Nothobranchius furzeri: one gene and its partners. The protein of the gene in region 2 purifies or fractionates together with the protein of the main gene of each other region. This does not show direct contact. Links are inferred from orthologs where the notes say so. Each region holds a gene or a part of one and is shown on either strand. Other genes may lie near its edges.

Region 1 (7,533 bases), on a different chromosome or scaffold from region 2:
TTTCCGAGGTGCGCGTTGCGGAAATTCTGGGCCGTCCGGAGGCGCGGTGGAGGGGCGTGGTTGTTAAAATGACGAAAAATGACGCAACTTTTCCGCGCGGAGCCGTGCGGACCTCGCGGACACGTCAAGCATAAACCAACCTTTAGAATCAGACATGATCCAGCTCCCCAGTAACGGACCTCTCAGACTCGGCCTTTAGAGCGACTCAATTCTTGTTAAAAACATCTGTCTGGGTCCAAAACAATGTAATTGTTACGTTTTAACAGCAGATCTGATGATACAGATTCAGATAGTTCACTTATAATTGTCTGCATTTCATTTGAATTGTCAGGGGTTCTAAGTTGTGTGGGCCGTGCCTGTTTGCTTTACTCCTATCAGATGGTGCCCGGAGGGGGCGGAGTTCCCACAATGCAGCGCATCCCACTGCCAGGGGCCGAAATGCTGGAGGAGGAGCCTCTGTACGTCAACGCCAAACAATACCATCGTATTCTGAAGCGACGGCAGGCCCGGGCCAAGCTGGAGGCTGAGGGCAAGATCCCTAAAGAGAGAAGGGTACGTTGTCTCCAGTATTAGGTACTTCAGGAAAGGTTTACCGTTTATTCATGGTCATTTATTTATTTCTTACAGAAATACCTACATGAGTCTCGCCATCGTCACGCTATGCAGCGTAAGCGAGGAGACGGAGGACGGTTCTTCTCCCCTAAAGACAAGGAAGAAATGGAGTTGGCTTTGGCACAAGTAAGAGTCTACACCTTAAGGCTTTAAATGACAGATTTGAGTTTTCACTGACATATGTGGGTAATTTGATCTCAATTTATGTGTTTTTCCTTCGTATGACGCAGCAGCAGGACGTAGGCCAGACGGCGCCGGATGAGACGGTGGCCCAGATGATCAGAGTCTCGTAGCACTGTCACCAACATCAGTACTTCTGTCTGAATTTTTCCTCGGACTCTTCATCCCAGCTAAGCATCGAACGCGTTTGTAATCCGTTCTGACTCACTACGCCCAACCGAGCACTCAGTGGCGCGCTTTTTGTTTTTCCCTAAACGTCTTTGCTGCTTTTCCAGAGAGTCGCTGCTGAGCCAGTGAGGATGCATTCATGCTAACGTTGTCTGGTTTCGTTTACAGGACCAGCAGCGTTTTGTTTTCTTTGGACTTTGTCGAAACATGAGAAATGAGGCCATACTCTGTCAAACCCTGTAAAAAAAATAAGACTTTTCTCCAGTTGATGCATTTAGTTTTAAATCATTTTGTAAATGGTACCAGTTTTTTTAAGCATTTATTTTCACAACACAGCTGTTTTGTATTGTTAAGAATTCCTTTTAATTTGAAATGTAATTATTTAAACCTTTCTACTATTTGGAGTGTATCCTCCATCGTCTGAGGACAAAAGAGGAGTTGTGTTAGTACTTTGAAAATATTGTACAGAGAAATATTTGTTCCCTCGTGTGTGTTGACATCCTTACCAGTTCTGTTGGTGCATTTCATACAATTTATAGTTAAACTTGGTGTTTTGGCTGAAGCAAGGAATAGTTGAGTATTGCATCACATTAACACACTATCAGTGTACAGTAGATCTTTTTTCTTTTAGTCCACATAGGTGGTTTTTATTTTATTGGAGGTAATAATTTTCTTTTTTTTATGCATCAAGTGCAGTCAATACTATTTTTTACAATGTTAAGTGGTTGAACATCACTTTCATAAAATGTGTCAATAAAAATTTTGTAAAATAATTCAAGGTTATTTGTGTTTATTGAGATTAGTAGCAGTCATCAATTACATATTTCTAGTTCTTTTTAAATTAATGGCACATTTCTAATTTCCAGACTTGATGCAGGAACAATATAAGTGGGGCCGTAGATTCTCAGTGAAGTAAAGCTAAATAAATCTGACATCAAAGTAAAAAGTCATTGGGCTCTATGTGCTTTATGAGAGTCATTTTAATAGTTTTTATCCAAGCTTAAAGCTTCTTTATGGATTAATTTGATTTATTTGGATAATCTTTTCTCTTGTTGCATGTTCTTGTGCTTATAGGTGATCACCTTTGGACCAGACCTCCAATATTTCCTTCATGCATGTAGATTAAACATTCTGAAATCCCATTCTATGAGGTCACATTACAGGATTTATTAAAATCAAGTTACTTTAAACTTTGATATTAAAATGTAAAAATTCTTTTTTCCATCCCATTCTAAAGGAAATGGAATGAAAATCTCAAATATATTATTAATGCTATCCTTAAACTGGACCTTCTGGTACAGGACCATGAAAACAAACGCAGCCAATCAGAGGCTGAGGTGGTAGAAATTGGCTATGTGGCTAACCAATCAAATCAAAGTGAGGCGGGGCTTGATCCCAGTTTCCTTGGCAGATTTTACCATGGCAACGGAAAATTATCTACGCGTGCGCTAACTCGTGCATCAATCCTGCAAATTACAAGTAAATATTCTCACTACAAGTAACGAGTAACGCTGGTGTTTTTTTCTAATCCAACAGCCGGCTCTGACTGGATGACTCAGCCCGGATACCGCCTACTTCCTCAGGTGACGGCTCTAGCTACCCGCCCCCTGTCCGTGGCTGACATCCGAACCACAGGAGCGAAACAAGCTGCTCTTTTCCAGAGAACTAGAGGAACTTTGACGCGGGTTTTTGCACTTTTGCATTACTTCTTTAATTTTAAGCCACTGAGTGTAACTAGAGAGCAGGAAGGCGACGTGACGTTCGTTTAAACTCCATCAAGAGCCGGCTCTTTCTGTTATCTTTTACTATCATTTGCTCCTTTTCCTCCTCCATCCAGCATCCGTGTCACTCCGATGCAATGACAGACTCGGCTGTGGACAGCAAGGCGGAGGTTAAACAAGCCACCAAATACGTCAAAGAGACGGAGAACGTGGCGGAGAAATATTCCGCGTTGACTGTCAGCAAGAACAGCAGCGATGTGAACATGAACGTCGGGGAGATGCCCTCCGCAGCATTCACCGCAGTCCCGACTCTGAAATCCGTGAAGAAGGTAAGGAACGTGATGCCCGCCGCCATCACCGGCTGTCATTGGACAGAGATCAGACCGTCACATGTGAGGAGGATAAACGATAAACTCACGTTGGTGCAGAACTGTACCGCAGTCAGCTGCTGACAGGACAGTCGGCTGCAGAGTCAGATCATACACTTCTCACTTCTGTTTGTACGGATGGTGAAAGCTCACGATCTCATATTTATCAAAGCTATGCAAAGCAAATGTAAAGCAATTACAACAAACGTGAGTATTAAGGCGTTATTTATGTTGCCTTACTTTATTGTATGGCAACACAATGTTATCAAAAAGTATCTATGCCTCAGAAAGTGGAGACATTGCTTCAGGGAGAGGAGATCTGTGTAAAGAATGAAGACGTTACTGTGATAATTTACTCAAATCAACCATAAATTTCAATTAGACATTTATTCAACATGCAGGAATGTCCCATTTTTAGTTAATGAAACCAATTGAATGAGTTCAGATCATCGGTTCAGATGTGCAAAATAAGGAAGTGATTGCTGCACACCATACACCTGTGGGAAAAGACCTTGTGTTCCTGTCCTGGTTAACAATGGCTTAAACAGAAAGACCCTTCTCCTTAGGTGGCTGTTCATATTACAGGTCCACCACTGTGTGCAGCAGCTGGGAACAGGCCATGAGTAAACATGAGCTGAAGCACGGGTGATAGGGTAGAGGACATCTTTTGTTTCCCAGAGTCTGAAAAATGCGCCATCTTTTAAAAAAGTAGGTTTTCTTTTATTCTGATCTCAGCAGTGGCTTAAACCTAACGCCACTAATCAGCCCCTGATGCTCATTTCATCTTGTCCATCAAGTCATCATGACCTGAAACTAGATTTATGCCTATAAATACTGATATGGATGCTGATGTTTGCCATTCTCAAAACATAAAAAAAAAAACAAATAAAGAAAATTTAAACAGATATGTCAGTAATAATATATTCATATTTGTTATAACTGTATAAAATATTCATATTTGTTATAATTGTTGCATGTATTACAGCTATTTTTAAGTGACGCAAAGCAATCAAATCATTGTGGATCGAATGAGCGTTCATCATTTAAACTCTATTAATTAATTATTTAGAGTGAAGCTTAACGCTTCATTCTTCTAACCCTGCTTTTAGTGTCAATAATGCACATTTTTTTTGCATTTTCTTCTGCCCCCTTTTTTTTTAGAAGTTGCATGTTTTACTGCTTAATGCAACCTTCCTAAAACTCAGGGAAAAATTAGTCTCTGTGACTCAAAAATGACTAAGTAATAGATTACAAACCCCTGCAGATATCGTATGCCTTTCATGATTGTGGAACAACTGTCTGCATGTGTCAGTGTCACATGACAGTGCATGGAAAAGAACACTCACTCTGCAGATGGACACTACTTGACAATATGTAATAAAAAAACCAGACTGTGTCCTCTTGCACATTTACACTAACAGAATCAAAATGATTACTTTTCCAAAAGAAAGTTTGTTTTCTTTATATTTTTCCTGAAAAAGTGGACAAACATGTCTGATTAATAAAAACACTTATTTTCTCAGCAGCGGGGCTTCAGAATATTGGGTCAGACCTCCTGCCTGACAGGCAATAGCGTGCGGACCGCGATCCGCCTGAGGGAGCCTAGAAAACATATTGGATGACAGGAATGTGCACTGAGCCTATAAAAACAAACCAGCATATGAATGAATGTGAGGGCCTATTGATGAGAAATCCCTGTTGGTTTTGAAAAAAAAAAACGTATGCAAAAAGTGGATGAGAAAGTGTTGGAGTATGATGGTGATGGCGTTTTCTGCTGCATCCCCAAGTGTGTTTTGGCTTCTAGCTTGGTTAAAGAAAGCTTAAAGATGTGGAACACTGAAAAAAAAAACATTTTTTAAGTGATTAAAATCAATCACTCAAGAGTTTTTCATGCAGGCTGAACATGAGAATAGTCTAATACACCTATCATTAGCTTCTGATAGAAAATAGATGGTGAAACTAGGATTAGAAAATCCTGACAGATCTACGTCACACTGTCACTGAACGTCCATGGACTCACCCATCTTGACTCCCGACGGGGGGAGGGCTGTTGCTGGTTTAGCATTCAGGAAACACCAGAGAACATCTTGACTAGTAGAAGCTAACCATTAGCATGAGCAACTTCACCACACAGCAGAACTCCTCCAGGCTTGTGTTATTTGTGGAGATCAAATGTAAACATTGCAAAACAGAGTCAGTAGTAGAGCCGCGTTGCAGTTATCCAAACCAGGGCGAGATGTCCAAATATCAGGAAAAAAGAAACCTGCCGTTTGAAGCTCAGCTGTGATGTGTACGACTAAAGACCAAAAGCCTCTTTTATATTGTACTTTTTGAGTTATTAAAGCAGTTTTACTAATTTAGGTGCTGTTTCTGATGAATGCAACACACTCATCTGAGTGGTTTCCCTCTCCTACAGGACTTATCCATTTGAACCCATCAGGATTCATCCAGGTGTTCTCATTTATCGGCTGTCGATGGGCTAAAAGCACATGTAGTTTATTTATTTATTTAATTTTATTTGCATTGTGTAATCTCACTGATCCATAGCATTCCGTTCTGTTTGCTTCTGAAATCTTGTGGTGCTTTATGTTGGTAATCAGTGGAAGTTACACTTTCAGCTAAAGGTCACACAGTCTCCGAGGGTAGACGGATTAGTGCTCTGTGTGTTTTTTCACAACACTGTAATCGGTTGTGCATGTGTTGATTAAATAGGTGCTTTTGCACTGATTTTGGAGTTTCGGCTTCACTTACATTTCTGTTTGTGCTCTGTTTGTGCATCAGGTTGTGTGTTTGTTGGGTGCAGCCGTTGTGCGTAAGCAATGAAGATGTTTGTGGATTACAGCTAGATGGTGCATTAGACCTGTAGTGGTGTCTGGTTAAGTAGTGTTGCCTTATGTCAGGACCACACTGAGCCCTTACGCCACTGAGCGACAGTCACACTCCACAGCTTATGTCTGTGACCTGGCCCGCTATCTGAGAGAGAACGGGTATTTTTAGCTGTAGGAACAAGAGGGGTGCCGATTAATGCAGCAGAAGGCTAATGAAGACAGGGCGTGATTCCACCTGCCAGTGGCCTTGCATTCAGTCATTTAAATGATGAATAAATAGGTTTTGTAACATGTGACTTGTTATAATGTTCTTGGACTTTATTATAAGTTAAAACCTAAAGAGTGTAGCTGCTGGTTGTCAAGAGCAGAGCCAGAGAAAGCGTCTTCCTTCCGTTTCAGTCCATTAGAAATCATGATGCTAGGTGGGACCCTCCCCTCGCTCTGCCTGGGAGTGTTCTGGGATAATAGCATCAGGGACACCTGGTACCATCCCACAGAGGACACCGAGGCTCAGAGAGGTAGAGTGGAGACCTGGGGAGAGAGAGAGAGAGAGAGAGAGAGAGAGAGAGAGAGAGAGAGAGAGAGAGAGAGAGAGAGAGAGAGAGGTAACGGGTGACTATGGCACATAAACATGGACACAGTAGAGAACGGGTGAGTTACTACTAAAGCATCAGTGAATTTAACTTCTACATGTTGATTATCTCTTGTGAATTATCTTTTTTTTTTTTTTTGCTGTGAGCAGAAATGTTTTCTCTCTGTTACTAAAACTTGCCGTTAAAGTGAAACTCGAGGCCTCATATCTAACGATTCTGCTGAATTCAGTGCAAAATGATGCAAAATGAAACTCTGCGTTCTGTTTTAGGAGACAGGTCACACTCGGGGTTGTGAAAACAGAGACGTGCAGAGAAACGCTCAGTTCACTCTGCCTCCCAAGCTTCTTGGGTTTCTTCTTACTTGCTCACAGTAGATTATTGAAGCCCAGGTATCGCTGCCTATGGAAATTAGGATTGGGAGGTTTCTATGGTGATTTAATCAAAAGATTAAATCATTGATCATTAATCAGGATGAATGAGACTAAATCATGTGGTCTCTACAAGGCAACTGAGACATTTTTATATTCTGCTATTTGACTTTGTTTAATATTTAATCTAGCTTTTATTTTACCATTGGATCAGTTCGTTTCTCACTTTTAGTGACAACTGAAACATTTTGATTCATTGAATTCTCTCGTTACAACTGGGCGAGAAAATGATCGTATCGTGTATCTGGGATGTTAAATGAGCCTATAGAGCACATGACACTCACATCATACCCATCTAGTTGTTAGTCTGCTATTAGTGCAGTTCCTAATTTATCTTGTGTGTGTTGTGTCAACTCTGCAGACGCGCTTGCTCGTTTGGACTCCAAACACGCGTTATAGGCAATAGAACTAAGGCGCCAAATGAAAAACTCAACGTTGTCACGCTGAAGGAAGACATTTGAAACCAGCAAATGTCTCAGAAGGCACAGAAGAAGCATTTTAAGTCGACGACGAAAGAGAAAAGATTTAAGTAGGAGAGGCAAAGTGTTCCAGGGAAAAAGAGCTCCAGATGGACAACAAACATGATTGCATCACAATGAGCGGTGTTATGACATTAAACAGGGCAGTTTGACAGA
Region 2 (7,517 bases):
CTATATCTTTTAAGCTGAGTTACTGAAATGAATTAACTTGTACTACTACATCTGATTTTCATGCTAGCATGTTGACAATTAACTTCTATTCCAATGATGGAAATTCAATAATTTTTTTAAATGTGTGGAGTTTGTAAGAATTCATGTATCTTTTTTTCTTCTGTACCCAACTCCTAAGGATTGTTCTCAGTGGGTTTATGTTCCAAGAAGTTTCTAGGACAAGGAACCAAAATGTAAATGCTTTCTGCAATGATTTTAGCCTTATGGCACTGTGTTTCACCCATCGTCATATATACTGGACAATTCATGTCCATAGGCTCCCAATAATAAGTTTTTAAGCCAAAATGGGAGGTGGCCACCACCTCCATTTTGACTGTGTCACAGGTTCCGTCAAGCCCAGACAATTCCAAAAATGGGAAGAGAGGTGGAGCTGAGGGTGGGGCTGTAAGGCTGGGATCAAATGACAACACCTGTCGAACTGAAACGATGTAGCTACAAGGTAACCCAAAGCTAACGCGGAGGTGGGAGCTAAGCTAACAGAGGTAGCAACCTAGCTACAACTGGAGTTAACTGTGCACAACACCAGAGCTTCTGAGTCAGAGATATGCCGGGCTGACCGCTGGGTAAAACCGGGTGGAACACAGAGGTCTCCTGAGAGCTCCACAAGCCGTCAGCCGCGCAGCAGACAAGTGTCGCTGCAATCAGAGATGCGCAGAGCTGCCGCTGGGGAGAACTGGGTGGAAAATATCTGTTTCCATCCGAGAGCTCCACAAGCTGGCAGCCCGCACATCAGACAGGCGCAGCGACGATCAGAGATGCGCTGAGCTACGGGGAGGGAAGAACCGAGTGGAACACAATGGTCTCCCGAGAGCTCCATAAGCCGGCAGCCGCGCAGCAGGCAGGCGCCGCAGTGTTCAGAGATGCGCCGAGTCGCGGGGAGTTGACCATACCGATAGTCGGAATCCAGCTCCACCAGCATGTTATATTTTCTAAAATGCAGCGTTATGTTAAATGCACTGGGTTTTACCCTATTACATTTAAATTTCATTGTTATACAGTACATGTTAATATCTAAGCTCAGCCAGTGCAACAGTGACAGGGACATAAAATACATTAATATAATTTTACTTACCAAAAAAATTAAGTGGAGACTCCTTGGATGCTCTATTAGTGCAATTAATACCACAGCAAATCATTTTGTCTAACAATTGCACAAATAATATCCAAAAAGAATGCACAAACGGCACAACTAATGATTGTTGAGGGACTGAAAATCGCGGAACAGTTTTCAGGCGAGGCCGAGGCTCAGGCTGAGGCCTTTCCATGGAGCTAGCTCTGCGGTCACGTGTGTCGGATGCTCATTAATTATTCAGAATTTTAGGCATTTAATACACTTAAACAGAAGAGTGACAAAAAATGCACCCCCCTCAGAGTTGTCATGAGTGTAAACTAGGTCTATTAAACCTAAAACATGTTTTGGAACCAGGCTGTAAATACATGTTTTTTTCTGCTGTGAAAATGGTATTTTTAACATGGGAGTCAATGAGGATTTGATCGCTTCCGACACCAGCCCCCAGCGGATGAGGGTGGAACTGCAATTTTTGACACTTCCGTGTTGGCTTCTAATTCATTCCAGTATCATGGGGAATTATTATTATTATGTTGGAAAAGGCATTGTTCATCATAACTAAACCACTTTTGGATAACTGGGAGGAGTTCCTCTTGGAGGATGTTTCAGTACCATTCTTATTTAATGACTGTATTCCAAACTGTGAATGAATCCATTCCCTTGGCTGAAAAGCAGCAACCACACATATGCTTTACTGTTGGCTTGACACAGGACTGACGAACTAAGAGAAAAATTCTGATTAACCAAAGAATATTACTTCACCCAGTTCCTGGACCTTTTGCAGGGTGTTGATCTTTCCCATGCTTTGTTATTGATGAAAATGGCTTTATTGCTGCTTTTCCAGACATCAGACCATCCTCCAAAAGTCTTCTCCTCACTCTGCCGTGGATGTAGTCACACTTGCCTCCCTGCACTCGTCCCCCCTCTCTACTGTCCACTCCTTGTTCCCTCCTCTCCATGATTGATGTCAAGTTGTTGTTGTTATTGTTAGCCTCAAGGGCAACATGCCGATTATCACTTGTAAGTCGCTTTGGACAAAAGCGTCTGCTAAATACATAAACATAAACATAAACTTGCCTACTGCCATTCTTGAACAAGCTCTACACTAGTGTTGCCCTGATTCCACAGCTGGATCATTATCAGAAGATGATGGTGCTTGCTAGACTTTTTGAAGCCTTCTTCATAAACACAGTGGACATGTTTTCCACTTAACATTCTGGAGTAAAGTGCCATCATAAAATCTGAGGCAGGACACTTGTTCGCAACTAACATTTGTTATATTTTAAAATGTGTGACCACCATTGTTAGGACTAAATTATATTAAACACTTGCCCATAGTCTCAACGATGCTCCAAATGCTCTGCTGCAGGATGTTGGTGTTTACCAGCAATGGTTGAGGTTTCTTTGTCCAAAACTGTTAGATTGCTGCACAAATATGATTGCACGTTTGTGTTTTTTTTTTTTTCATTTATTTATTTATTTATTTTTTGCTGCCAGAGAGAAGCTAAGGGATGTTGGGAGTGATCCAATGTAAGTTTGCAGGTCTTAGCTTAACTAAATCCGTCCAAGCTGGTGTTCCAGTCTGCTTTAGTGTAAGCTGTCATTCAGTTACATCATACAATAAATGACACATTGATGGAGCAAAGTCCCTGTTACTGATTCCAATAAAGAGGTCTGCGAGTCAGAGATGAAGACAAACCATGAGCAAGACCAGAAGTCCACAGCTAAACCCGTTGAGGTTTTGATGTGCAGATGTGTGGGAGTATGTAGGAAGGTGAAGCTGTTGCTAATGGGGAGACAGAACTATTGTCGCAATCCTCTCCCCCAGTCAAGCAGTCAGAATGATTAAGCCTTGTTTTATTTTGGGAATCATATCCGTAAAGTAAATTTGTAGTGAAAGGGGTTGTTTCTCTCATCCCAACCATGATTCCCTCCCTCTCTCCTTCTCATGAATGTCACCTCTACTGATGGAGGTTTTCACACACGCGCACACACACACACCTCCTCATTCAAGCGCTTGCTGACTTCGGATGGGAGGAGGAAGAGGTGGAGAGAAGTGAACGAGAGGGAGAGGAGGAGGTGGGAGGCATGGGGTGAATGAGGGGGGAGTGTTAGGACTGTGTGCCATCCGGAGGCAGAAGAGGAACCTCTTGTCTGTGTGTGTTCATGTCTCCGCTCTGTTGCCGACTGCTTTCCGACAAACACCGTCAGCATCCCGCCTGCTGCTCTACATCTGGAATTAAGTCAGCTGGATTACCGCTCGGACTCTGCGCTTGCTGCTCCACTCTGCCACGTTTAAATGGGAGGCAAAGTTGGATCTGTTTGGACAGCACGATGGGGGACAAACAATCAGATTTTTCCTGCTCTTTTAAGAGTTTCCTAGCGTTCAAGATTATCTCACTTTTTTTCGGTAAAACTGTTTTTATATGTAATTTAGTTTAATCCTCTTCTCTTTGCTATTGTGTATTGAAAGTAGGTTAATTAGTTTGGAATATTTAGAACTTGAGGCACATTTTGATGTGAAACAATGAGTGGGGAAGCAGGTTAGGGGCATGTCTCCTCTCCCTCTTTTTTTAAAAGTTTTTTGTTTTGTGATTTTAAACAGAAAATGTGACACTTGATCCACGTGTCTGCTACAAAGAGGTTTTTTTATTGTTTTTGGCCAGAGTTGAGACTTTACAGTGGACTACATCTGATATTACATCTCTCCCACATCTCCCCCTCTCAAAGGGAAGCATCTTCCCTGTTAACCCACTTAGTAGCCGGATTTCCCCTGGGGGGAGTTCTTTAAAACATCTGTCCTACTCCAGTTTTTTCTTAAGAGGAGCAGAAAACCAGCTAGGAAAGGGGGGTACAGAGAAGTAACATACCCCCCTCCCAAACGTGTGAGGGGGGGAGAAGATGGCAGCTCTCGCCAGCTCTCTCATCAGACAGAAACGGGCGGTCAAGGACGACCAAGCCAACCGACCAGTTGCCAACAAGCGCAGGCCCTGTCCCAAGAGCAACAAGTCCCTGTGCCAGAAACAGATTCTGGTTCTGATTTCTAAAGTTCGGCTGTGTGGGGGTCGGAAAGCTCGAAACGAGAAAAGACCGGGTGAGTCACTCCCGATGCTTTGGTGTTTTTAATAATTTGTGCTTAATAAATTAGATCTTTAGTTTTAGCGAAGTGCAAAATTTGAACCGATTGTAAAGTTCAACAGCTAAACTTGTTACTTAATTAATCAAAATGAGTTCATTACTTTATTCTCACGTCCAGTGTAGAATCCAAAAGTCCAAAATGGTTTCATTATAGTCAAAATGCTCCTACGTTGTTGTTCCCTTCCAAACAAACCGCAGTGGTAACACTTTATAATAAGGGTCCCTTTAATAACGTTAGTGCATTTTTAAGCATTAATAAACTATTAAAGTATTAACAACTGCCTAATAATAAACTTAATGTGCATAACTAAGCCCATTGTTAATAGTAAATGGCCTGTATTTCTAGAGCACCTTCTTAGGATGCTACAACCCCCCAAGGCGCTTCACAACACGATCAGTCATCCACACAGTCACACACTGGTGGGGAAGAGCTATGATGTAACCACAGCTGCTCTGGGGCGCACTGATGGAAGCAAGGCTGCTGAACACTGGTGCTACTGGTCCCTCCAACCACTACCACCAGGCAAGATGGGTTAAGTGTCTTGCCCAAGGACACAACGGTAGCATTCTCTGGTTGGAGCCAGAATCGAACCTGCAACCTTCTGATTACTGGAAAATCCACTCTACCTCCCGAGCTACTGCTGTCCTAACCTTAGGGACACTTAATAGTTAGCAACATCGGGAACGTTAATAAAGAGATCATTTGTTTATGATGCTTAATAATGAACTAAATAATGTTAATAAAATAATCATTTTTAATAAAATGTTACCACAGCAGCTGTTGATCTTCTGGTATTGGAAATGAGGAACTTTGTGTAAGTTGTTAATGATAAAATAATAATTTAATGTTTATAAATTTTCTACATTTTACAAATTTAAAAAAATCCAACAAATGTCCGAAATTGTAGCTGTTCTAATTAAATTTCATTTTAGAACTTAAATTTAAGATCATATGTTCAGAAACGATACAACATATTTAGGAGAAATCTTGGAAAACAACACCATGCACCATGTAGGGTGATTGTGCTAAATCTGCTCCTCGTGAAACGTTATTTCATTGTCTGTAAAGCTGACAGGCATTTTTGTTTTCCAAGGTCAGATGGCTGTGTTATCCATTCTGAGTCGGGTCGACTAGTAAAGACTTTCTGAGAATTTCATTAGAATCCACCAAGTTGTTTGTGAGACAGTTGAGATTGCTACCAACACTTAAGTGAAACACTTAAAACAGATACTGCACATTGTGTAGCACTCAGAGTCCACGTTGTCAGTCTGTTAGTTACTACGGCACAAATTATGGCTTAATATTAAAAAGGTGGTCGAGCCTGTTTTGTTTGTTAATGATGATCAGCCATGGCAGACATCTTGAATTGGGTAGAGTCCATTGTTAACCACTTGTAGATGTACATCTGATGAAGACTTTCAGAACAGTTCATTCAGTATTTCCTGTATGTAGCAAACATTCAGTCACCTCTTGGTAATAGTCAACAAGAGCTGAATATTACAGCTGATAGCATGCTTTTTGTTGTTTTTACAGAATATAATTTTTTCTTTCATTATTACATTGACTGATTGTTTTGTAGCACTACCAAACAGGTAATATGAGCGCTCTGCTAAAGGTAAACGATGCAGATGAGAGAAATGTTGCTGAACACACGATCTTCACAGAGAACCATGAGATGTGATACTGCTCTGTATTCACTTGGTTTGTGGTCTGTGGGTCTGGCTGTTTTAATCTAACTGCCTCTTTAGCTGTGTTTGTGGTGCAGTTTGAATGCACAGCAACAGGGATGTCTATCAGCCAATCAAATCTCATTCTCACCTAATGTAATAAAAATAATTCATTTTCCTGTTTATGTTACTATGTAATCTACAAGTAAATAGTTTAATGTATCATTTGTATTCTTAGACACATTTTTGTATGTTGTATCTGTTTCAGTCTAAACCCCTACAATCCCTGGCTTTCATAAAACTGACTGTTTACATAATAATACCAGATGTTTGGTTGCTGCTGCCCTGCCAAGGGGGGATTGATTGTGGACGCAAATCAAAATGCTCTAAGCTCATGCACAGTTACAATAATATCCCTATGATTCCATGAAATGGTAAATATTGTCCTAGCTTGTCCTGTCTGTTTGGGCATCTGTGTGTGTGTGTGTGTGTGTGTGTGTGTGTGTGTGTGTGTGTGTGTGTGTGTGTGTGTGTGTGTGTGTGTGTGTGTGTGTGTGTGTGTGTGTGTGTGTGTGTGTGTGTGTGTGTAAATTGCTCATGTGCTAACACTTATTTTATAGCTCGTTAGAGAAATTGAGGTGAGGTGGTGCTCACTCCTCACCCCTGCCACATGGACCCAAGGGATAAACCATCAACCCTGCTCAATGGTCAACTTTCCTCACGGGGTCACACCCATTAGGACAGTGGGTGGGTTTAAAAAAATCGTTTTTTTTTTCAGTCAACCACACCTTAAAATATCAGTTTCCCACATTATGGAACATAAGCACACATAGCTCCTTATTTGCACAAGTTAGGATTTTTATCAGAATCCTAAAAAGATCCTCTATCTCCCTTTCTCTTGTTCGACAATGAGAGAATTACTTTTGCCATCGTTGTCACTAAATAACTGATATATTATCCTTTACAGCAATTTCACAACAAGCCTTTAGTAGGAAGACAAGCCTTTTGATGAGGAGATCAGCGATAAAACCAAGCTGATTATACCTGCTCATCACCTCCTCCAGGAGTTAACTTGTTCCAAAAGATCCTTTGAAGTAGAGGCCCTTTCACTGTCAGCAAGCTGCACTGTTGCCCTCTTTTCAGATCAATTCAGCTCATTAATATATAGTGATTAATCAATAACCCACTTCTTACTTTGTTCAAGGTGGAATCTGATTTGAAAAGGGGGGAATATTGAACTGCCTGTCTCCGTGTATCACCTTCAGTATCTTTCTTTATGTTGACTCAAGTTAAACATACATGATGTGTGTGTGTGTGTGTGTGTGGGGGGGGGGGGGGGTGACATTAAAAACATACAAATAAGTCATTAATGCATGTGTTCCTTGTGCAGACAACCTTATGTGCAGTGTGTGCTGTTGGACATGGAGGTACAGTAGTATGTTATGGGTGTAAGCATCCGATGGGCCAGCCGGATGCTGGAGCATGAGCGTAGGCCCCGGCTGGCGGGCAGCAGACCAGGTTACAAGGATAGATCCAGGAGAGGATAGCATTAAGCTGACCCCAAAAGATCAGGGCAGCAAAC
Region 3 (7,578 bases), on a different chromosome or scaffold from region 2:
TGTCATTTTTGATGTTTTTCAGTTTCTGCATAATCTTTATTTTTAGAGATTTTTTCACTAAATGTTCAACTTTGAAACTTTCAAAACAGGAAGTGAAGAGCATATTCAACTGGTCATATCTCCCACATAAAACACTAGAAACCTAATATTTGACATGTGTACTATCAGTTAGAGGGAGGTGACTTTAGCAAAAAAATAATAATTAGACAAATGGCCTGTATTATCACAGAACAGGGTCAGATTATCTCTTTTAATGATTTGTTAAAATTCATACACAAATCTAGCCTAGAAAGCTAGACAAGCCACGCCCCATTGTAGCCTCAGCAGGCCCGAGCAGTGTTGTGTCTGGCCAATCACAGTGCTCTATCGGTTCGGTGGGCGGGATGTTACTTCAGCTAGGCGAAACAACAAAGATGGCAGCAGCTTGTTTGAAATGGCTTTGTCATCAATTTTGGTTTATTTAGACTTTGGCTTTTGTTTGAGTTGAAAGCAGACAGAGGTACTTAAGTCCTTTATTTAGAAAAATGATGTGTTTGCGTCTTCTTCGACGGTGTACGGTGGACTGCCTCATCAACCAAGTCAGGAGATGCTGCTGCCCCAGTTACCTCCCCCTCACACCTATCTGTCTCTAGAAGTCAGGTGAAGAGGCAGCTGGAGAGACTGAACAGGAACAAGGCTGCAGGTCCGGATGGTGTCAGCCCCAGAGTACTGAAGGCTTGTGCAGAGCAGCTCTGTGGGATTCTGCAGCACCTCTTCAACCTGCCTTGTTCCAGTTCCAAAGAAAACTCGCCCATCAGTCAATGATGACTACAGACCGGTTGCCCTGACATCCCACATCATGAAGGTCCTGGAGAGACTCCTGTTGGTCCACCTGAATAAGCAAACTAGAACATATCAGGACCTGCTGCAGTTTGCTTATCGCCATGGAGTTGGAGTTGAAGATGCCATCATCCAGCTGCTTCAACCAACCCACTGTCATCTGGACAAAGCAGGCAGCACTGTGAGGGTCATGTTCTTTGATTTCTCCAGTGCATTTAACACAATCCAGCCTGATGTACTTTGCCAGAAACTCCAGAAGACACAGGTGGGGGCCTCAACTATCGCCTGGATTAAAGACTACCTGACAAACAGACCACAGTTTGTGAGGCTGAAGAACTGCACATCAAACCAGGCGATCAGTAACATTGGAGCACCACAGGGGACTGTACTCTCACCATTCCTTTTCACCCTGTACACCTCAGACTTCCAGTACAAATCAGAGACCTGTCATCTACAGAAATACTCCGATGACTCTGCAGTTGTCGGGTGTATCAGAGATGGACAGGAAGCTGAGTACAGAGAGCTGGTGGAGCGCTTTGTGGCATGGTGTGGAAACAATCATCTGACCTTGAACGTGAACAAAACAAAGGAGATGATTTTAGACTTCAGAGGAAACAGGGTGGAGTCAAACACTGTTTCCATCATGGGAGAAGAAGTGGAGGTGGTTGAGGAATACAAATACCTTGGAGTTCACCTGGACAACAGACTGGACTGGAGAAAGAACAGTGAAGCCGTTTACAAGAAGGGACACAGCAGACTGCTCTTCTTGAGGACGCTTAGGTCCTTCAATGTCTGTAGCAAGATGCTGCAGATCTTCTACAAGTCTGTTGTTGAGACTGTAATCTCTTCAGCCGTCGTCTGTTGGGGTAGCAGCTTCAGAAGCAGGGACCTGAAAAGGCTCAACAGCCTAATAACAAAGGCTGGTTCTGTTCTGGGGACGACTGTGGAACCACTGGAGGAGATAATGCAAAGAAGGATTCTCCAGAGAATCAAGAAAATTATGGACAACCCTGAGCATTCTCTCCACAAGACTGTCCGACAACGGAAGAGTGTCTTCAGTCAGAGGTTTCTTCAGTTTGGCTGCAACACTCACCTTCCTGCCAACAGCCATTGTAATATACAACAACTCTTTGACGACTTGATTATTATTATTATTATTATCCTGAGCTACTACAGCAATCAATTTCCCTCTGGGATTAATAAAGTATTTTTGAATTGAATTGAATTGAACTGACATTCGTAGTGGTGAGTACATTACGTTGTTCAATGCGGAGACAGTTTTAAAGACAACGGTGGATTCTGCCTCATGGCTGAGCTCTCTCTATGGGTTTTGGCCAAACTGCCGGTATATATTCACATCTATAGGATGGCGTGTTGTCGCATGCTGACCGGGTATGAGCAACTGATATTTTACATGTCATAGTTATTTACCAAACACTCTGTGACTAATATGGCTCATTCTCTGAGAAATTGTTTTCAGATTGGAATTGTTTTAAGATCTTTTCTTAATGGTCACACCACGGCTAGCTAACTCTTTTGTTCACATGAGCTAATCTATTCATTTTTTCTCAAAATTTAAACATTTCAAAAAGCAATCCAAAATTATTAATTAATCGATCACCTTTTCACAGAACCCCATTTCAGGAGATTTGAACTGCCCCTTTAATGTGTGTTAAATTAGTGGTCTCTATGGTGACCACTGACAACAGTTTTAACATTTCTTTTCATCTCTATGCTGTACACTTTTTTTGATAGTTTATGCATTAAAAAAGTAGTTATATTGTCTTTGCTTGGGTCACTTAAGTAGCCGTTGGGATTTAGTTATTTTTTTTTAATTATCTAAATTAATAGACACATTTTTCACCACCCCACCCACTGTGTGGCGAATCAACAGGTTGGTTCAATGAACAAATAATAAGTTCTGATTCACTTAATGAACATCATCCGTGTTTATTATTGTCAATGCGTGTCCAATATTTGTTTATAATGCATGATCTTCTCTCTAAATAGATGTTTTGCAAATAGCGAGAGTCAACTGACCACAACTTACCGATGACAGTTCGTCACATCCTAATAACCCGTAATAATCCTCCAAGTCCTCTGGTTTACAACTCAAAAGCGTCTCCATCGGATCCGATCAGATCAGAGAACGTTTGTTTATTTCGATCGGAGCTGTGTGATGCAGTTATCACAGCTGTTCACTTTCTATGGTTTTCGGTGCCCGGACAGTTTGTTTTGCTTTTACTGTTTTTCCTCACCCTGTACTGTTTTTCAAATAAATTGTTCTAAATAAAGTGACTCTGACAAATTTCTAATCTATGAAGATACGAGTCAGTAAAACGTAGCTATCTTTTCCCTCAACATGTGACGCATGCTGCATTAAAGTGTTGTGGTAACAATTCATCTCAGCGCAGTGACTACAGCTACAGAGGCATAAAATACTACTGAAATCTAGCTTAAAAAACTGTGGAAAAAAATAAATTGTGAAGTGAAATAGGGGCAAAATTATTTTCACCCAAACCAATATTTTATGTTGCAAAATGCTACAAAAAAGGGGAATCTTCTCTTTGCCATTATTCTAATACTGTCATTTCCATGCTGACGTCTTGTGCTGTAAGTACCAAAAATATTTATGCAAGTTAGATTATATAGTCATAAAAATACGAGTTATTGAGCATTTTTCCCAAACGTTTTAGGCTTTTATTTTTTGTTATGCGCGTTACTGCAAAGAAACCCAACGACACCTGAAGGCAGCAGTAATTTGTTGTAGTCTTAGGTATTTGCTCTTCCTCATTGGTCGAGAAAGAGTCACGTGTGCTATGTAAATGAGCCAGCTGTCCGAGAGGAAGGCTTTGCGCAGCGGCTCTGGGGTTGAAGATGGCGGATGAAGAGAATAGTCTCGGAACGGCCTTTTCTGGCGCCTTCATAACGGATGAACCTGCGACGAAAATATCAAAAATGGATACGCCGACTAATCATGGGCTTAAACCCACTGAACCGGACCAGCTTTCGCGCGTCTTTGCAGCCACAGAGAGTCGGGAAGCGGCGATAAAACGTTCGCAGCCTTCCGAGAAGGAAGCAAAGCCGGTGATGGAGGTAGAGCAGGCCCCAACAGCGGCGCGGGACGGAGACAACAATGAACGGGGAATTCCGGTCTCCGAGCCACAGAGACCGGCTGGGAAACTGGTCGACAGTGCTGTACTTTGCTCAACCGAAGAAGTCGCAGGTATGAATAACGCTTACCTCTACTAGCTTACAAACGTTGCGGCTGTTTGGTTTACAGCTCACCGGCAAACTTGATGCTTAAGTGACAGCGAAACGGAATAAACCTATCGGTTTGTGTGTTTTCGGTGTAATGCAATTTCCTCTAACCATAAACGCGTCCATAGGTTTTAAAGTCCACATCACTTAAACTGTAAGAAACTTTGAAGCCAACGTAGCGTCATTTAGCCGGTGTAACGACAGAAACGTGTGCACCGTCTTATTGCGCTGGATCGCGATTATTTGCGATACACGGTATCATCAGCATATAATAATATTATAACGGGCGTTACTTTAGTTCTTAATGAAATGCCAAACCTATTATGATTAATGATAAATGACCCGCACTTTTATAGCGCCTTTCAGAGTCGGCGGACTCCAAAGCGCCTTACACTACAGTGTATCATTCATCCACTCACACACCCTTGATGATAAGCTACAATTTAGCCACAGCTGCCCTGGGGTGCACTGACAGAGGTGAGGCCTCTGAATACAGATGTCATCAGTCCCTCCAAGCATCAGCAGGCAAGGTGGGTTAAGTGTCTTGCTCAAAGACACAACAGCAGTCTGCCAGGTTCGAACTTGCAACCTTAGGATTACATGACAACCCGCTCTACCCCCGGAGCTACTGCCAGATTTCTAGGCTATCTTTGTACCACAGCAATAACTCATTTTACTCTTAAGTGGATGCTTACTTTTTATTCATTTGAAATATATTATTTAAAAATTATACGTAATTAATTGGAAAATTACATGTGAACTAAAAGTTGTTGTCATTACATTCTGTTCACAGCAGCCTCACACTTAACTGCATTGAGCATTTTGTTATAATTTGTCTTGTGCCTGGTTTCCACCTTATGCATAAGCAGCGTGTAAGAAGACACAGATAATAAACACCTATAAGCAATGGTTTTTTTTCCACTGGATGTGGAGTGGAGCATCTCAGATGTGTCGTAGGAGTGGTTTGCTGTAAAGTCGCTGACGCTAGTCTGACTCGATGCAATCCGCTGGATTCCCTTATACTGGAAACTTTGAAATTATTGGCATGATTAACTGAACTCGGTTGGAATGTTTACTTGGTGAAGTGCCTTGAGAACAATTCTTGTTGTGATTTGGTGATGTATAAATAAACTGAATTGAATTGGGTATGTTTTTCTAACCCAGCCTTTCCACTGGATGTGTAAGCGGCATGCGACGTGATAGAGGAGTTTTACTTGTGAACTCCCTTCCAACTGGGAGCATTTCAGGCATGAAACGGGAGTGAAAAGGTGAATGCCTCCTCCGGGTCAGGGATGAGGTCCTGCCCCAAGTAGAGGAGTTTGAGTATCTCAGGGTCTTGTTCATGGGTGAGGGAAAGATGGAGGACAAGATTGATGTGTACTGATCTGTCGTGGTGAAGAGAGAGCTGAGCTGGAAGGCAGAGCTCTCGATTTACCGATCATCTACTTTCCTACCCTCACCTATGGCCACGAGCTTTGGGTAGTGACCGAAAGAACAAGATCGTGGATACGAGCGGCCCCCGCACCATGAGAACAAACATCTCGGCTCTAAAGCCGATCTTCATCCGCATACGTCACACGTCACGTGATCAGGAAGCAGAACATCCATGTGTTAGGAGATCGTTTTGGGCCGCTGCTGTAAAAAAAATGAGGCGCGAACGGAAAAAGCTTCTGCCGATCACAATTCAACAACGGATTATGAAAGAACGGATAACGCTCGAAACACGCGGATTCTTCCTGATGTAAGAGCTGAGTCTCCGCTTTGTTTTGGTTGTTTTGGCGTCGACATCATCCTAGCGCGCAACGTTCTGTCACTCTTTAAAAAAACAGTAAAAACGGTGAGAAACGCTGGCAGTGAAGGGCTTTACCGATCTGGAAACGGCTGGCAGTGAATGAGTTAAGCGTCCACCGGAAGGCCCAGGTTAGTTTCTAACTTCTTTCTTTTTATTTGATTTTCTAGGACATGACGATCTGCCCTCCAACGGCCTTGCTGCCTCACCGGAAAACCTCAACGATGAAGACGACAGATCTTCACATGCAAGCTCCAGCGACTGGACTCCTCAACCCCAAATAGGTAACTGGGACGATTTGTCTGGCATTTCCTAAAGAAAAGTGCCTTAAAGACAGATAAAATTCTTGTGGATTTGTTTGAAAATGAAGTTTCTGACTGTTGTTTTGTTTTCTGGCCAGGCTCTTACAGTTTCATCCAACAACACATTAGAGAGACCGATCCGCGAGCCATTCTAAGGGATTTGCTTCCTGAGACTATACTCCCTCCAGATTTAGATGACATGACACTGTGGCAGATCATCATCAACATCTCAGAGCCTCCGAAGAGAAAGAAGCGGAAGGATATAAACACTTTGGAAGATGTGGTCAGGCTGCTTCAGGAAAGCAAAAAGATCCTTGTGCTGACTGGCGCTGGGGTAGGCATTTACAGTTCTACTCGTCTAGGACTGTATTAGAGTAATGCGATCTTAATCTTCTCTTTTTGCTTGTAGGTTTCAGTTTCATGTGGAATACCAGATTTCCGCTCAAGAGATGGGATTTATGCACGACTTGCTGTAGATTTTCCCGACCTCCCAGATCCTCAGTCTATGTTTGATATCGAGTACTTCAGACGGGACCCTAGACCCTTTTTCAAGTTTGCTAAGGTTGGTTTGTGGTGTCTGCTGAGCTTTTCATGCAGGCTGAACATGAAGATAGTCTCCTACACCTGTCTCCTGCTTTAGCTTCTGATAGAAAACAAACGGTGAAACTCTAGGATTAGAAAAGCCTGACAGATCTACGTCACGCTGTCACTTAACATTCATGGACTCGCCCATCCTCACTCACGACGGGGAAGGCTGTTGTTGGTTTAGCGTCAAGGAAAAGGAAGCTAACAATTAGCATTAGCAACTCCACCACACAGCAAAACTCCTTTTAGGATTGTGTTACTTTTGGAGATTAAACATCAACATTGCAGAGCAGAGTCAGTGGTAGAGTCGCTTTGCTGTTAGCCAATCAGAGGCGAGATGTCCTAATATCAGGAGATAAGACTCCAAAACCTGCCATGTTTCTTCTCCTGCCGACTTTTCTGACCCCAGACAGCCGCACCAATTTTTTCCCCAGAGTACGACACTTAAATTCATTCCTACTGGCGACTACTGTAAATGCATTAAAGTACAAGTAGAGTTAACCATACATAAATATAAAAGTATGTATTGCTCTACACCCTCAGGTTTTGGCACAGTAAAAAAAGGTTTCACTGAAAACTTTAAGATGCCTCAAGTAATGAGTCAGAAAAGGGCCGGATGATCAAAAACAGACCCAGACGGGCTCCGTCAACAGGCCTTCCCCTCTCAGCACGTGACTTAAACATGGGAGGTGGAGGTTGTCCCAAATAAAGGTTACGTAGATCACTAGCATGGCAATATTTTAGTTTTTACAAGTTTTACAGAAATAAACAATGGTTGTTTGCAAAATTAGCAGAAAATTGATGAAATACAAGTCTGGTAAC
Region 4 (6,987 bases), on a different chromosome or scaffold from region 2:
TTCTCTTCTTTCAACAGGAAAAGACTGTGAGGTAGATAAAAAGTAAAACATATGAATAGAAATAATCCCAAAAATAAAATATTAGGTGAACAGAAATGACAAGTTACAGTGAAGCCATTTTCAAGCAACTGCATTGGTATCAGTTAACTTTTACCGATACCGATACTGGTATCGGTATTGGTGCTTCCCTAGCGGCAACCCCCGAACCCGCTGCTGGACACCTTTGTTATTAACCAGATCTGAGTAGAAACCTGATCAGGGTTTGTTTTCTGTCTCAGGGTGGCCGTGGAAGTGGTATCCACAAAAACCACAGCCGATGTGATGTGGAAGGACGGGCGGGTGGAGAAGGGCATCAGATCAAATGACCTGATCCCCATTCAGCACCTGGACAGCCACGAGTTCTGCCCCGGGGACTTCGTAGTGGACAAACGACGTGAGGAAACAACGCTAGCGTTCAACAACCCCGTGTCACTGGCTCTCTGACCTGTGTGTATGTGCCCCCCCCCCCCACAGCTCAAAGCCTGCAGGACCCAGGAGTGTACGGTGTGATCCAGTCTGGAGATCACAAGGGTCGGACGTGCGTGGTTAAGTGGATCAACCTGAACTCCAGCGGGGACGGCGTGGAGGTCAGCCAGGGACGGGTGTCACAGGGAGACGGGTGAACATCACAGGGTGCCGACATTCCTGTTTGTTTATATTTGTCTAACGCAGGTCATCGGCGTGGAGGAGGATGTCAGCGTGTACGACATCTCCGACCATCCAGATTTCCACTTCCGCACCACCGATATAGTCATCCGAATCTGGAACTCCGAGAACGGACAGAACGACTGTGAGAACGAGGTGAGCGTCGCTCTTCTGAGACAGACGGATTCATAAAGCCGGGCGGACACTGTGCGACTTTTTCACTCGTAGCACTCAGCTTCAGCTCAAACTGTACGACTTCCTCTCAGGACAGATCTCACGAGTCCTGGGGGGGGGGGGTCAGACCCATGTTAAGAAGAAGAAGAAAATATCATTTCTATAGCGCCTCTCAAGATAAAAATCACGAGGCGCTTAAGCATAATTCTGCGCACACGAAGACGCATAAGAGTCCTGGATGATGAAGCTCAATGGTTAAAGGAATCACTGAAGCGGTGTGAAGCGCTCCGTCGTGCGTCTACACGGTACCGTAGGAGGCGAGCTGCCGTGGTTCGCCGCATGCTACAGCAGCGAGCTATCTAGGTGCGCACAGCGTCCCCCGGTCCCCTCCTCCTCCCCCTCCCCCTTGTCCGGAACTTTACCTCACCAGTCTGAAGCAGCCACCCTGTCCGTAACAAGTCCGGACCTGTTACTAGGGGCTTCGTCCGGATAAATTCCGGAACACGTTATCCGGATGTTTGTATTCAGACACAAAGGTCTTACGGACAGAGTCCGGAACATTTCCGTTTTTCATGGCCTGTCTGAAGGGGGCTTTAGGGTCGCAGCTGCTCGCAGCGCCGCTTCAACAGTGCGATACCCTCACGAGGGACGAGCGAAATATTAAACACGCCAGAAGTCCGTGCGAGCTCACGACTGCTGATCGGTAGCTGGTCACGTGGTGTTAATCGCCTCTCGTAACCCCCTGTACACTACACGACGCTCGGCACAAAACTCACCCCGATCTCGTGGATTCTCGCACGAGTGGAAAATCGGCTCAAAAAAGTGAAAAAGTCGCACAGCGTACGCCCGGCTTAAAGCACTCTGACTCACCGAGTCGGCTCCAGATCCCCAGAAACACCTGTTGTGTTTTTGTAAATGTTGAAACGACAGCAGGAAGGATAAAGGAATCGACGCAGATACTTCATTTAGATCTCCGGTTGATTTGAAAGACGAGGTTTGGGTGAGACCGTCTCAGCAGTTTACATTCAGACTGACCCCGGGTCAGCAGCAGCAGCACCTTATATTTGAATCTGGATCATGACACGCCTGATTCAAATGTCACCACGAATGAGCTTCCAGAATATCTCGAGTCGTTCCCGAGGGTTCTCAGTTTCCTCGTGCGAGTCACGTGGCTGTAATCCCATGTGGAAGTGGAGAAATGTTCAAGAAATTTCTGCTGAGTCATGGCGGTCGCTGGAACCTGCTTGAGTTTACTTTGAGTCACAAACGTGAGACGGCGTTGTGTGTGGTTAGACCCCGTTTCTAATCGAATCAAGGGAGGACAAGTCATGTGACGTGATGGAGCAACCAGGCTCTAACCACGCTGCTGGGGTGTGTGTTTGTGTGTGTGTGTTCCTCAGACGTCAGTGGGACAGGTGTCCAGAGTGGACGTGAGCAGCAAAGTGGAGGTGGTCTGGGCCGACAACTCCAAGACCATCGTCCTGCCGCAGGTGAGTGCTTGTAAAAACTAGAGCCGTTTGCATCATGAGCGAGCGCTTCAGCGACTCTGACCATCCCACAGCACCTCTACAACGTGGAGTCCGAGATCGAGGAGACGGACTACGACTCGGTGGACGAGACGAGCAGCGTCCTGTCCACCGAGGAGTGGGAGGACGAGAGCGACAGCTGGGAGACGGACAACGGCTTGACCACTGAGGACGACGGCCACGTCAACAACGCAGACGCCACAGACACGGCCACGCCCACCCCCACGCCCACCGGCTCTACCGCCTTCATCCTCCCCCCTCAGGAGGGCAGCAAGCCGGCCACCAGTCCCACCAACGGAGCTCCTGCAGCGGAGGGAGAAGCAGCGGTGGCCAGTCCTGCTTCAGGAGGAGGTGGGGAGCTTCCTGCTGTCTTGTCTCGTGGTTCAGGGTCGTCTCAGGCCTCAGTCTGAGGGGCAGCTGCGCAGCACAGATTCATATCTAGTTATTGTCCGGCCAGCGTGACCTTTAACAGAAACGACTGTAGAATAAACCAGACTGATGTAATCCGATTACATCAGATGAATCTTACCCCCAAATTCCACTACCTCTGCCCCGCCCCCGCCTTCCGCAGCCGCTCGCTTCCGAACTCAATTTTTACTGCTACCCGCTCTACAACGGCTCCGCTCCGGTGCGGAGACCTGAGGGGGGCAAACAAGCATGCGCGGGATTTTCGAGATCTTGCGATACAGTCCGAGCAATAAACGCGGAAGTTAGATCCAAACACCCGTTGTGTGGGAGAAGCATCGACATGAACTGTTTAATCTGCCCATCATTTGTGTTGAGACATCAGCAGTGTTTGGATCAACAAAGTGTGACTACTTTGATAGTAGAAACTGTATTTATGGCTTACTTTTGTGCATTTAAACTTCAGCCGCCATTGATAGTTGTTAAAAGTTGTTAAACTTGTGCATATGAAACAAAAAACGCCTTTTGTTTATCGATTTATTGTGAAAAACGGAGGTTGTGCTTGCTCCTTTTCCTGTTGGGCGGTTGTGATTTCTGTCCATTTACTGCGGAGGTGCTCCGGCGTCCGGCGAAAATAGGATCGATTCTATTTTTGCCGGACACCGGAACACCTCCGCAGTAGTGGAATTGCTTTGATTGACTACAACGGGACCGATTTTGCTCCGGCGGTCGTGTCGGAGCGGAGCGGAGGTAGTGGAATTTGGGGGTTAGTCCCGGGGTACACATCTGGACAGCTTCACAGCTGGATTATCCATTTTATCTGGAGTTTTCATTTTAGAGAGCCAGCAGGCACCGGTCTGCTCCAGCAGGTGGCAGAATCGTGTTTAGTGGTGAAGTAACTTTTACCTCACGAGTATTAATACACGAGCTTAAGATAAAACAGGTGTGTAAAGCTTTAAAGAGTCCATTTTTGGTCCTTTTTTTAAAACACGGATGAGGTTTCTCTTTACCTCGCTGCTGCAAACGAAACCATCAGCAAGGTAAAGAAAAACCTCGTCTGTGTTTGAAAACGAACCGCAAATGGACTCAGAAGACGAACACAGCAGCGGCGTACAAGAGGAGCGTTAAAGAGGTGTGAATTTCAAGGCAGGAAATGAAACCGGGGCTTCACGGAGGGGCGGTTGGTAGTACTGTTGCCTTGCAGTGTAAAGGTTGCTGGTTCAAGTCCCAGCTCCAGCTGTTCTGCGTAGAGGTAGCACGTTTTCCCCGTGCACGTGTGGGATTTCTCCGGATACTCTGGGGTTAGCTGGAAAATGTGTGGGCAGTCTTCCGTCTCCGTGTGTCCCTGTGATGGACCGGAGACCTGTCCATGGTGTCCCTCTCCTCTCACCCGCCGACCGCTGGAATTGGTCACGAGCGCGAGAGGGAGGGAGTTGTGAGTTTAATTCTTCACCAGTGGAAGCTTCTGGAAAATCTCCTAAACTCTGAATTATATTTTGACAAACGTGAGGTCAACAGGACGCGATCAAACAGGTTTCAGATCTTGATGCTAACGGCAGTTTTACGGACTGTTGTGTGGTCTGTCGTCCGGTGCAGGAACAACTCCAGCGGCGTCGGTAAACGGAGCGGAGAAGCCCAACAAGGACGGTTCCTCTCGAGGGTTCAGGGAGCTGAGGGAGGCCCTCAGGATCCTGGAGAGTCTGAAGAACATGACGGTGGAGCAGTTGTGGACCGGTGGCTCGCCAACCTCCCCGACCTCAGCGGAACCGGTGTCCACGGCCAACGTAGCGAGTTCGGTGATGCCTCCTGCCTCTGAAAAACCCACCAAGGAGAAGCGCTTCCTGGACGACCTCAAGAAACTGCAGGAGAACCTGAGGAAGACTCTGGACAACGTGGCCATTGTGGAGGAAGAGAAGATGGAAGCTGTTGTGGAGTCTGCTGGGAGCGGCGGAGCAGGAACAGAGGTAGGTGTCCCGCTGCTGTGATGATCCGCCTCGTCAGTAGAGGAGGTTTGACCCGCCGCGTCTCCTCAGGCAGAGAGGAGCACGGAGGAGAAACCCCAGCAGGAGCCACAGACGCCGGTGGGGAACCAGGAGTGGCCCAGTGAGTTCCTGAGCGAAACGCCGGTGCTGTGCCAACAGAGTGGAGGGAAACCTGGAGTGACCTTCACCAGCGCCAAAGGGGAGGTGTTCTCGGTGCTGGAGTGGGCTCCAGGTGAGGTCACGGGTTCCTCACACGGGTGTGAAACCGTTAATCTACAGATCAACAAGAGCTCAGCTGTGTAAAGTTCACTTTCATCCGTTTCCTCACCAACAGACACTCACTCCTTTAAGAAAATGGAGTTTCAGCCGGCAGAGGCCAAGAAGTTTTTCAGCACAGTGAGGAAGGAGATGGCTCTGCTGGCAACGTCGCTGCCCGACGGCATCATGGTCAAGACCTTCGAGGACCGCATGGTGGGTTTTATCTGATCCGTACTGACACGCACGCACGCACGCACATTCACTCACGCACACGCACGCACGCACATTCACTCACGCACACGCACGCACGCACATTCACTCACGCACACACACACACATTCGCACACACACGCACACACACACACATTCACACACACACGCACACACACACACATTCACACGCACACGCACGCACGCACATTCACTCACGCACACGCACGCACGCACATTCACACACGCACACACACACATTCGCACACACACGCACACACACACACATTCACACGCACACACACGCATGCACATTCACACACGCACGCACGCACGCACGCACACACACACGCACGCACACTCACACGCACGCACGCACACACACACGCACGCACACACACGCACGCTCACACACACACACACACACACATTCACACACCCGCACGCACGCACACACACGCACACACATGCACACGCACGCACGCACGCATGCACGCACGCATGCACACACACACATGTGCACGCATGCACACGCACGCACGCACACACGCACACACACACGCACGCACGCACATTCACACACACACACGCACGCGCGCACGCACATTCGCACACACACACACACACACACGCACACGCATGCACACACCTGATGACGTAGATGTTTTTTTGTCCAATCACCAAAGATCTGTTTTGGTTTGCTTTAGAAGTGTTGCCATGACAACACACTTGTTTCTTCAGACTCATCAAACCAACAAAGTAGTTGGCCACAGTTAGGTTGTTTGGGCGGAACCAGGATGCAGCAGAACCTTCTGTTCATCTGGACCACATTCATAGACCAGATTAGGAAGCAGCCTGACGGTGCAGCCGTAGCTACAGATGTAGAGCTGGAGGATGACACAAATATAGTTTCTGGATCAGCACCGGCTCTGCTTCCGCTCGGCGTTAAGAGTGTGAGAAAACACTTGTGATTCTACTCGGGTAACCAGTGATCCACCAGCACCGGCATCTTTTGACCCCTAAAGAACAAGTGGGTGAGTTCTGCTCTTCCTGTGACACAGGACCTGTTTTCAGCTCTGATCAAAGGACCAACCAGAACCCCGTACGAGGACGGACTCTTCCTCTTCGACATCCAGCTGCCCAACATCTACCCGGCCGTGCCGCCGCTGTTCCGCTACCTGTCCCAGTGCAGCGGCCGCCTCAATCCCAACCTGTACGACAACGGCAAAGTCTGCGTCAGCCTGCTGGGAACCTGGATCGGAAAGGTGAGTGCTGTTGGGCCGTCCCAGCCAGTACTGGACCCAACCCAGTTCAACTCCCTGGTTCTGTCGTCCACAGGGGACTGAGAGGTGGACCAGCAAGTCCAGCCTGCTGCAAGTCCTCATCTCCATACAAGGTTAGACACACACACACACACACACGCACACACACACTCTCTCTCTTTCTCTCTTTTCTCTTTCTCTCTCTTTCTCTCTCTCTCTCTCTCTTTTTCTCTCTTTCTCTCTCTCTTTCTTTCTCTCTCTCTCTCTTTCTTTCTCTCTCTCTCTTTTCTCTTTCTCTCTCTCTCTCTTTCTCTCTCTCTCTTTTTCTCTCTTTCTCTCTCTCTTTTTCTCTCTTTCTTTCTCTCTCTCTCTCTTTCTTTCTCTCTCTCTCTTTTCTCTTTCTCTCTCTCTCTCTTTCTCTCTCTCTTTTCCTCTCTTTCTCTCTCTCTTTCTCTCTCTCTTTCTCTCTCTTTCTCTCACACACAT

What was found.
Region 1: the proteins of fgf11b (region 2) and ahcyl1 purify together in Homo sapiens (affinity purification with mass spectrometry; 3 studies listed by BioGRID and IntAct, with this or other methods). This does not show direct contact. The link is inferred for Nothobranchius furzeri from reciprocal best matches to the Homo sapiens genes FGF11 and AHCYL1.
Region 3: the proteins of fgf11b (region 2) and sirt1 purify together in Homo sapiens (affinity purification with mass spectrometry; 3 studies listed by BioGRID and IntAct, with this or other methods). This does not show direct contact. The link is inferred for Nothobranchius furzeri from reciprocal best matches to the Homo sapiens genes FGF11 and SIRT1.
Region 4: the proteins of fgf11b (region 2) and ube2o purify together in Homo sapiens (affinity purification with mass spectrometry; 3 studies listed by BioGRID and IntAct, with this or other methods). This does not show direct contact. The link is inferred for Nothobranchius furzeri from reciprocal best matches to the Homo sapiens genes FGF11 and UBE2O.

Annotation. Positions count from the first base shown.
Region 1 is NC_091755.1:28,366,473-28,374,005, reverse strand, and holds the start of ahcyl1 (S-adenosylhomocysteine hydrolase-like protein 1), read left to right. Parts: upstream 1-2,640; 5' UTR 2,641-2,818; coding exon 2,819-3,010; intron 3,011-6,418; exon of another isoform or gene 6,419-6,495; coding exon of another isoform or gene 6,496-6,528; intron 6,529-7,533. Other genes in the region: nfyal (nuclear transcription factor Y, alpha, like), read left to right, coding at 379-552, 628-738, 843-905. UniProt on the Homo sapiens protein: Multifaceted cellular regulator which coordinates several essential cellular functions including regulation of epithelial HCO3(-) and fluid secretion, mRNA processing and DNA replication.
Region 2 is NC_091750.1:51,449,307-51,456,823, reverse strand, and holds the start of fgf11b (fibroblast growth factor 11), read left to right. Parts: upstream 1-3,222; 5' UTR 3,223-4,030; coding exon 4,031-4,223; intron 4,224-7,517.
Region 3 is NC_091752.1:5,651,058-5,658,635, reverse strand, and holds the start of sirt1 (NAD-dependent protein deacetylase sirtuin-1), read left to right. Parts: upstream 1-3,689; 5' UTR 3,690-3,696; coding exon 3,697-4,045; intron 4,046-6,039; coding exon 6,040-6,153; intron 6,154-6,269; coding exon 6,270-6,505; intron 6,506-6,580; coding exon 6,581-6,733; intron 6,734-7,578. Other genes in the region: dnajc12 (dnaJ homolog subfamily C member 12), read right to left, coding at 2,870-2,947. UniProt on the Homo sapiens protein: NAD-dependent protein deacetylase that links transcriptional regulation directly to intracellular energetics and participates in the coordination of several separated cellular functions such as cell cycle, response to DNA damage, metabolism, apoptosis and autophagy.
Region 4 is NC_091747.1:74,396,602-74,403,588, reverse strand, and holds part of ube2o ((E3-independent) E2 ubiquitin-conjugating enzyme), read left to right. Parts: intron 1-278; coding exon 279-433; intron 434-513; coding exon 514-626; intron 627-711; coding exon 712-840; intron 841-2,258; coding exon 2,259-2,348; intron 2,349-2,419; coding exon 2,420-2,735; intron 2,736-4,385; coding exon 4,386-4,753; intron 4,754-4,822; coding exon 4,823-5,003; intron 5,004-5,105; coding exon 5,106-5,242; intron 5,243-6,300; coding exon 6,301-6,504; intron 6,505-6,577; coding exon 6,578-6,635; intron 6,636-6,987. UniProt on the Homo sapiens protein: E2/E3 hybrid ubiquitin-protein ligase that displays both E2 and E3 ligase activities and mediates monoubiquitination of target proteins. Negatively regulates TRAF6-mediated NF-kappa-B activation independently of its E2 activity.